2 linked regions of the Arabidopsis thaliana genome follow. The protein of the gene in region 1 interacts with the protein of each later gene in a pairwise test. Each region holds a gene or a part of one and is shown on either strand. Other genes may lie near its edges.

Region 1 (4,527 bases):
ACTTAACAAAGATTGAAAACGTAATTTGTCGCATCTCTTATGCAACGAAGTGATAAGAAGAGTGAGTATAAATCCTTCTATGATAATATTTATTTCATCAATGGCTACGAATATATGGTATATATGAAACTGTTTATAAATGGAAGATGAGCTAGTTGTGTACGGAATGAGGTTTTGGTACCTTACATCGAAAAAGCTACATTATGTAGTTTTGTCATCGCCATGAGGCCCATGACCATATCTCTTTTCGAATCCATTTTTTTAGTTACCTTTTTCTTTATTCACGACATGGCTACTTTCTTTAGGACGTGCGTGAGTTCTTATATACAACATAATCACGTAATGCGTGAGCATTTATGAATACAGCTAAAGAATTGAATCAAACTCACATGAATTGAGAGAACAAAGTATATGTGGTTATGACGATTCACATGATTCCTATGAAACAATGCTCTTCAACACAAGAATCTAAGGATTGCACACCAGCGAGAAGATGACTGAGACACTAATAAGAGAAAGCTAGAACTCTGAACTTAAAATCATGAATGGAGATGATAAAAAAGGACTTCTGAGCAAATGCTGTGGACACTCATGAATGGGGGTAAATCTTGACAGATTGTGTAGTGGTTTTCATTGGAAAATGAACCATACTTCTCGGACCCCGTATCAACAATATAGGTTCTATTTTATTGGTTTGAAAAACTAGAGTGACCATCACGGCTTCAATCTTCTCGCGTCAACTCTATTTCAAACTTCCCATCAGACTCTGTGAAACAATCGGGGACAAGGAAATCTAGATAGATGACGAAACCTAAGCTTATGTAGGAAATAATTATATTTCAATCTAACAATAAAAGTGACATGGATTTGAAAATGATACAAAAGATGGGTCTCTACGACAAGACAAGGCTTCTAAGATTTGAGAATGACACAAAAGATGGGTCTCTACGACAAGACAATGCTTCTAAGAAAAGTAGAAAAGTGAGGTCTACAGTCTAACATACAACATAATCAATATTAGCCATGGATGTAAGTGAATTCTGTAATTCTTGTTTTGAAATGGACGAATCTCATCCAAAAATGTATGTAAAGAGCTTCTTATTGATTCAACTTGGCCGTGAAAAGAGAAAACAAACAGAGAAGCATAAAAAGGATCCACCTTTCCCGATCAAACAAAACGAGTAAGGGAGAAGTAATCCAATTTCAGACTTACACTCATACAGATTTTTTCCGAAGCATCTCCTCTGATGGAAGCTCCAAAGTAGCTCCCGCGTGTTCCTGACTTGCTTTCATCTCTACGACACAGAAAAATCAAATTTCCAAAGATATGAGCTTTCACTCACGCATTTCAACAAACAGATGGTGCGCAAGATAAAAAGAGTCAGAACGAACCATATCCGCCGCGTTCGTTGAGTTTAGCCTGGACGATCATGGTGGAAATGAACTGCGTCGCTTCACGCGCCTCTTCTAGAAGGCGAGTGATGTCGGAGTTAGAAGCCACGAGGCGATTCTCTTCGAATTTCTTACGGATCTCGGACGCCGAAGCTTTTAGCATCTCGGTATCTCCGGCGAATGATTTCTTTGTTGCCCTGAGCAGTGCTCTGTACGCGATCAACGCTTCTCCGGTCACCATTTCTGCTCTTTCCCCTTTCAACCTCCGCCGTCGTCTCCCTCCCAAAATTGGATTTAGAAATTTGGTCGCCGACAACCTTCTGATCAACTTCGAGTTTCATTGGGCCTTTACAACTTTCATGAATAAGCCCAATTTTGGCCCATTAATGGATTATTTCGGATCATACCCGTTCAAGCTGGGTTAACCCGAATCTTTCGTATCCTTGAGACAATTTACATGTGTATACTTATTATGGTTTCTCGATGAGTTTCAATCAGCGAATGCTTTGTCTGATTGTTCACTTCCTCCCTCGAAGTGTCTTCACCATTTCAAAGAGGTACGATTTTGTGTTTATAATCGTAGATTCCTTTCGCTGTTTTGATGTTATCGATCTGTACGAAACCCTAGATCATTGAGTCTGACCAATTCTGAAATTCGTCTCTTCGTTTGCCATTTATGTTTGAGAAATTCTGATACATGTTGTCATGTTGATCTCTTTATGTTTGGTTGACCAATTCTGAAATCTGAAATTCGTCTCTTCGTTTGCCATTTATGTTTGAGAAATTCTGATACACGTTGATCTCTTTATGTTTGGTTAATTCCTGCCAGTTTAGATAGAGATGGATCATGTATACAAAGGTCAACTGCAAGCGTATGCCCTGCAACATAATCTGGAGCTACCAGTGTATGCGAATGAGAGAGAAGGGCCTCCTCATGCTCCTAGATTTAGATGTAATGTTACATTCTGTGGACAGACTTTCCAGAGCTCTGAATTCTTTCCGACACTAAAATCGGCTGAACATGCCGCTGCAAAAATTGCAGTTGCTTCTTTGACGCCACAAAGTCCAGAGGCTAGTTCCTCACACTCTTTTTGGACTACAAGTTATGTGCTTTTTCAACATTTGTTTAAATTTTGATTTTCAAATTTTTGTTGTTTCAGGGAATTGATGTTGCCTACAAGAACCTGTTACAAGAAATTGCACAGAAAGAGAGTTCTCTGTTACCATTTTATGCAACTGCTACATCTGGTCCATCGCATGCGCCTACTTTTACTTCAACTGTTGAGTTTGCTGGTAAAGTTTTCAGTGGAGAAGAGGCGAAAACCAAAAAGTTGGCTGAAATGAGCGCTGCTAAAGTTGCATTCATGAGTATCAAAAATGGGAACTCGAACCAGACCGGATCGCCTACTTTGCCTAGTGAGAGACAAGAAGATGTAAATTCAAATGTGAAGAGCAGTCCACAAGAGATCCATTCTCAACCTTCTTCCAAGGTGGTGATGACCCCTGATACCCCATCAAAGGGGATTAAAGTGAATGAAGATGGTTAGTTTTCTTTGAATACTACACTACATGAATAATCCGTTGGTTTGTTTGTTAAAGGAAAAACTCTCTTTCTTTGTTATAACTTGTGGTCCAATCAGAGGGACGTATTTTCCTGAGATAGGTAGGAAACAGCTATGAAATAAGAAAGCCAACCTTACTTTAACTGCATGAAATGGATTCCAATTTCAGTTTAATGCTAAATGGTCAAGATGGTTAATTCATTCAAAACTCATGCTCTACAGTCTTGATTCTGTGCAGAATTTCCAGATCTTCATGATGCACCAGCCAGTAATGCTAAGGAGATTAACGTTGCTTTGAATGAGCCTGAGAATCCTACAAACGATGGTACTCTTAGTGCACTAACTACTGATGGTATGAAGATGAACATTGCTTCTTCTTCTTTGCCTATACCTCACAATCCTACAAACGTTATTACTCTTAATGCACCAGCTGCCAATGGTATCAAGAGGAACATTGCTGCTTGTTCTTCGTGGATGCCTCAGAATCCCACAAACGATGGTAGTGAAACATCATCATGTGTAGTAGATGAGAGTGAGAAAAAGAAGCTCATAATGGGAACTGGCCACCTGAGTATACCAACTGGCCAACATGTAGTTTGTCGCCCATGGAACCCCGAGATAACTCTTCCTCAAGACGCGGAGATGCTCTTTAGAGATGATAAATTTATAGCCTATCGTCTTGTGAAGCCATAACGACATCATCATCTTTGATGCATAATAAGTGTAGAGATAGAATGTTAAGGTAAGCTATATCTCATCTGTTTGTAGAAATAGAATGCTTCTCGTCTCTGGTTTTCTTAAGCAATATGCTATGTAGTATGTATACTGTGTAATGACTAATTTTTGTTTTAAAGCATTGTGTTTATTAGAAACAAGGCGAGATTAAATGTTAATAGATTATGGAAAAGCTTAACAGAATAAATATTAAATAGTAAGATGTAGACATAAGCAAAACCAGCTAGATAAGTAACCGCTTCAAGTAGAATATTTGTAACGATAACCGAATATAATTAGAGACACTAGAGTAGAGGTAAGCAAAATATTTGGGAACAGCAATTCCATCACGATATTAGATATTCGAGACCGGTGCGGAGATGTGCTGATGATTTTCGGAAGACATTCAGGTTGTACATAGCTAAGTCCATATTGGTACCCACAAGTGCTGATTTTCCGAACAGATCCTGGTTGTGAACGAAGCAGGGTGTGCCAGCAGTGCCAAGGCACAGAGTCCTTATTTTCTCTCTTAAATTTTAGGGTCCTAATTTATAGGAATTTTTATTTTTCTAGATAAAATTACAATGGTTGAATAGAACTACAAGTGTATTACGTTTACAAGAGACAGTAAACACTGCCACGTAAACTAAAATTTTTTGGATTTAAAGGTTTAAAGGGGATATTTTTTTTTTTAGCACAGAACCCAAAATAATATTGAGTCGGGCCTGGAACGAAGTGAGACTAAATTTTCGACGAAAGAAGTTATAACACAAAAGTCTGGAGAGGCAACAAAGGTAGTCTGTCTCTGGGTAATATTTGAACAACCTTTTCTCACTCTCACATAAGAAAAGATTCCCTA
Region 2 (3,934 bases), about 18 Mb from region 1:
TGTTTTAATAATTCTTTCTTGCAACTTAGGTCTACACATGGGGTAAAGGTTACTGTGGTGCTCTAGGCCATGGAGACGAAAACGACAAGATCACTCCTCAAGTTTTGGTCAATCTCAACAATTGCCTTGCTGTCCAGGTTAGATTCGTCCCCCATCTGTACCATCTCAATGTCTGAGATAATGATCCCTTTACACCTTGTTCCTATATTCTCTAAGACCTTCAGCGGTCTCTAAGAACTAATAAGTGATCAGTTCAATTAGAATCAAAACTTAGCACAAGTATTTTAGTTTAGAGGATTTTCAGTATAACATTCAGTTTATTTTTCGGTTTTGGTAAAGAAAACCGAAGCTGGATGTGTTGGCCTTTGTTTGTATGGAGTTTTGCTCCGTTTAGGATCAGTTAGTCAGCCCTGATCATGACTCTGCTTTTACTTGCAGGTGTGTGCAAGAAAAAGGAAGACTTTTGTTTTGGTGGAAGGTGGATTACTATATGGATTTGGGTGGATGGGGTTTGGAAGCCTTGGGTTCCCGGACAGAGGAGTTTCAGACAAAGTTCTTAGGCCAAGAGTATTGGAGTGTCTGAAACCACACCGTGTCTCTCAAGTTAGCACCGGTTTGTATCACACCATTGTGGTCACTCAACGTGGTCGCATTTTTGGGTTTGGAGATAACGAAAGAGCTCAGCTTGGTCACGACTCACTCCGTGGCTGCTTAGAACCTACCGAAATCTTTCTCCATTGTGGCCGTTCTCGTAGCCGGCTTTGTTGATCCAAGGTATAGATAAACAACCATGTTTGTATGAACCGGATTGAGATTGGATTTACCGGTTAGTGTATCTTGTATTGATTTGTATCTGTTTGATTTCTTCAAGTTGTGAGAGTAATAGAAGATATTTCCAGACACCTTAGTGCAGAGAATTATGACATGAGTTAATTAATCTAAGAAGTTTTACAACTTCAACTACATAATAACAAATACCTTAACTCTTGGTGATAGTAGATCCACTCAAGACTTAGCAAAATATCTTAGTCTTTAGAACATTATAGAATGTAAAAGTAAAAAACTGAAAACAACCTAGAAGCAAATGAAGGAATCATTGTAACGACCAAGATGCAAAAGAATAATAAATCACTCAACATCGATCTCATCATCTTCAGGAAACATGTGTGCAACAACTTCAATCTTTACTTTTATCTTCTCCAATTTCTCCAGAGGTGAATTCAATATGCTTTGAATTTCTTCAGCAAATGTTTTCATGATCCCTAGATACGGAGGAACACCAACATCATTGAGGATTTCGTAGATTGTGGCTTTGATTTGTTCTTCATCTTGACCAATGAACTCGTCTCGACCATATCTTTGAAGTTGATTTGTAGTCCTTGTTTTAACCTTACTGGACATGTAGTCAGATTCTCCATCACTATTTGGCTCAGGCACTTTTGTGTAGACAACTTCAAAATCAAACAAAAAAGTCTGACGATCTTGAGTTGTTTCTTTCGAATAATAGATTGGCGTCACCATACATGTACTATCCGATACATCATCCACAATACACTCCATAATCTCTATGCAATGATGGGAAAAAAAGAAGTTAAGAGAGAGTTAGGTTTTTCAAGCTATGAGAGTGTATAAAAAATATTTGTGTGAAAGGAAAATTGTAACCAGGAATGAGTAATTGTTGGGATTGAATACGAGATTTTAGGAAATAGTTACAATAGGAATTCTTCATTAAATTAGATTGATCATAACTACAAAAGTTAACATTCATACATATCGTTAAGGTTCGATGAACCATAAATAGATATTCCGATATTTAAAATATCTTATATGATTGTATTAATAAAATATCTCATATATTCAAAATCATATTTCACTTAACTATTTCGCTGTCAAAAAATATCCTACCACTTTTCCAACATGACAAAAAAAAAACATACTACTTTTCTATCGTGGCACGTTTAAAAAATCATATCATTCCAAAAAGATTTACTCGTCAGATTAAATATCTAATCATCATTGGATTCACAATTTGTTTATTTACCTACCAGACACTTTAAAAAAAAAGATTAACTACAGAATAATTTTGTCTAAAAAGAAACGGATAAGAACACGTAAGACATGTCAGTCTTATCTTAAAATCCAAGTCAGCATCTCGTGTAATAATAATCTCGTACCTTTATAAAACCCCTCATTGTCTTCAACAAAAACATAACACATTTCAAGCATTGGATTAATCAAAGACAAAGAAAACGAAAATGTTGGCAATATTTCAGAAAGCTTTTGCTCACCCACCGGAAGAACTCAACAGTCCGGCTTCTCATTTCTCCGGCAAAACTCCTAAACTTCCCGGCGAAACTCTCTCCGACTTCCTCTCTCATCACCAAAACAATGCTTTCTCTATGAACTTCGGCGACTCCGCCGTCTTAGCTTACGCTCGCCAAGAAACCTCTCTTCGTCAAAGGTATATACTAATATACATAAAACACATATATACAAGTCAAATCTCTAAATCCAATTCATAGATTCATAATGGTTTTGTTGTTTTGCTCAGGTTGTTCTGTGGACTAGATGGGATCTACTGTATGTTTCTAGGGAGATTGAATAATCTCTGTACATTGAATCGACAATACGGTTTATCTGGGAAGAACTCAAACGAGGCAATGTTTGTGATCGAAGCTTATCGAACACTTCGTGATCGTGGTCCTTACCCAGCAGATCAAGTTCTTAGAGGTCTTGAGGGAAGCTTCGCTTTCGTTGTCTACGATACTCAAACTTCCTCTGTTTTCTCAGCTCTGAGTTCTGATGGAGGAGAGAGTCTTTACTGGGGAATTTCTGGAGACGGATCTGTTGTAATGTCTGATGATATTCAGATCATAAAGCAAGGCTGTGCTAAATCGTTTGCTCCTTTCCCTAATGGTAAACCAAAACTTAAGTTTTTCATTAGCCCTATAAAGAAAGAAACATACTTTTGAGTTTAGATCTTGATGTGTGTTTTGTGTTTTTGTTATTGCAGGATGTATGTTTCATAGTGAGACAGGGCTTAAGAGCTTTGACCATCCGACTAATATGATGAAGGCAATGCCGAGGATTGATAGTGAAGGTGTTCTTTGTGGAGCTAGTTTCAAAGTTGATGCTTGTTCTAAGATCAATAGTATCCCTAGAAGAGGAAGTGAAGCTAACTGGGCGCTGGCTAATTCTCGTTGATTTTGCTTCTAGTTTCGTTAACTCTTGCTTCTTTGTTGCGTTTTCTTTTTATGTACTCTTGTTTATGTAAATATAGCCTTATGAAGACGATAAAGAAATAAAATTGATTTGCTTCTTCGTGACATAGCAGTCTTTACTTAGACAACTGTGTGATAAATTCGCAATCTCACTCTTTGATAGATAAGAGGGAGGGAAGAAAGCAGTGGTAAAGACAAAACTGTGTTGATTTTGTGAATTTAGAAGTTTACAATAGCAAAAAAGAAACTTTGGTCGACTTTTATCATTCATCGTTCCACATGTCTGTAAATTCATCAGGCTCCAATGGGTTTGAGAGTTCATGCATCTTTCTTCTTGTTTTTGCCTTTATTTTCTTAGCAAATTTCCCAGCTTTATTTCTTTTCTCCAAAGCTCGAATCTAAAAGGCAGGAAATTGGAATATATGAGAACTCTGACAGATAATCATATATAGCAATGTGATCTATCAAGTTGCTTATAGAAGAACCAAGTACCTGGTTTGGAGATACATAGAATGGGTTCTCGTAAAGCGTTGTACCTCCAAAGCTGCCTCCAAATATCTTAATTGGATTTAAACAAAACCTTGGACCAACCTGTCATCAGGTTTTTACTTCAATCAACAACTAATTCTTCAGAAATTATGTAAGTTAGTGTTAGTATATATATAGTCATGGCCTGACCTCAATAAGAGTCATTTTATCCAGATCGCCTCGTG

The links.
Region 2: the proteins of DRB4 (region 1) and AT3G15450 interact in a two-hybrid assay, tested with the Arabidopsis thaliana proteins (one large-scale study listed by BioGRID).

The regions. Positions count from the first base shown.
Region 1 is NC_003074.8:23,224,869-23,229,395, reverse strand, and holds DRB4 (double-stranded-RNA-binding protein 4), read left to right. Parts: upstream 1-1,883; 5' UTR 1,884-1,949; intron 1,950-2,221; 5' UTR 2,222-2,232; coding exon 2,233-2,463; intron 2,464-2,552; coding exon 2,553-2,934; intron 2,935-3,192; coding exon 3,193-3,647; 3' UTR 3,648-3,870; downstream 3,871-4,527. Other genes in the region: AT3G62810 (complex 1 family protein / LVR family protein), read right to left, coding at 1,216-1,295, 1,393-1,633. UniProt on the Arabidopsis thaliana protein: Double-stranded RNA-binding protein involved in RNA-mediated post-transcriptional gene silencing (PTGS). Functions in the trans-acting small interfering RNAs (ta-siRNAs) biogenesis by binding and assisting DICER-LIKE 4 (DCL4). Required for DCL4 activity.
Region 2 is NC_003074.8:5,210,795-5,214,728, forward strand, and holds AT3G15450 (aluminum induced protein with YGL and LRDR motifs), read left to right. Parts: upstream 1-2,189; 5' UTR 2,190-2,255; coding exon 2,256-2,461; intron 2,462-2,551; coding exon 2,552-2,916; coding exon of another isoform or gene 2,917-2,972; exon of another isoform or gene 2,973-3,013; coding exon 3,014-3,204; 3' UTR 3,205-3,327; downstream 3,328-3,934. Other genes in the region: AT3G15430 (Regulator of chromosome condensation (RCC1) family protein), read left to right, coding at 30-137, 439-768; AT3G15440 (RING/U-box protein), read right to left, coding at 1,129-1,560; AT3G15460 (Ribosomal RNA processing Brix domain protein), read right to left, coding at 3,485-3,619, 3,714-3,812, 3,900-3,934.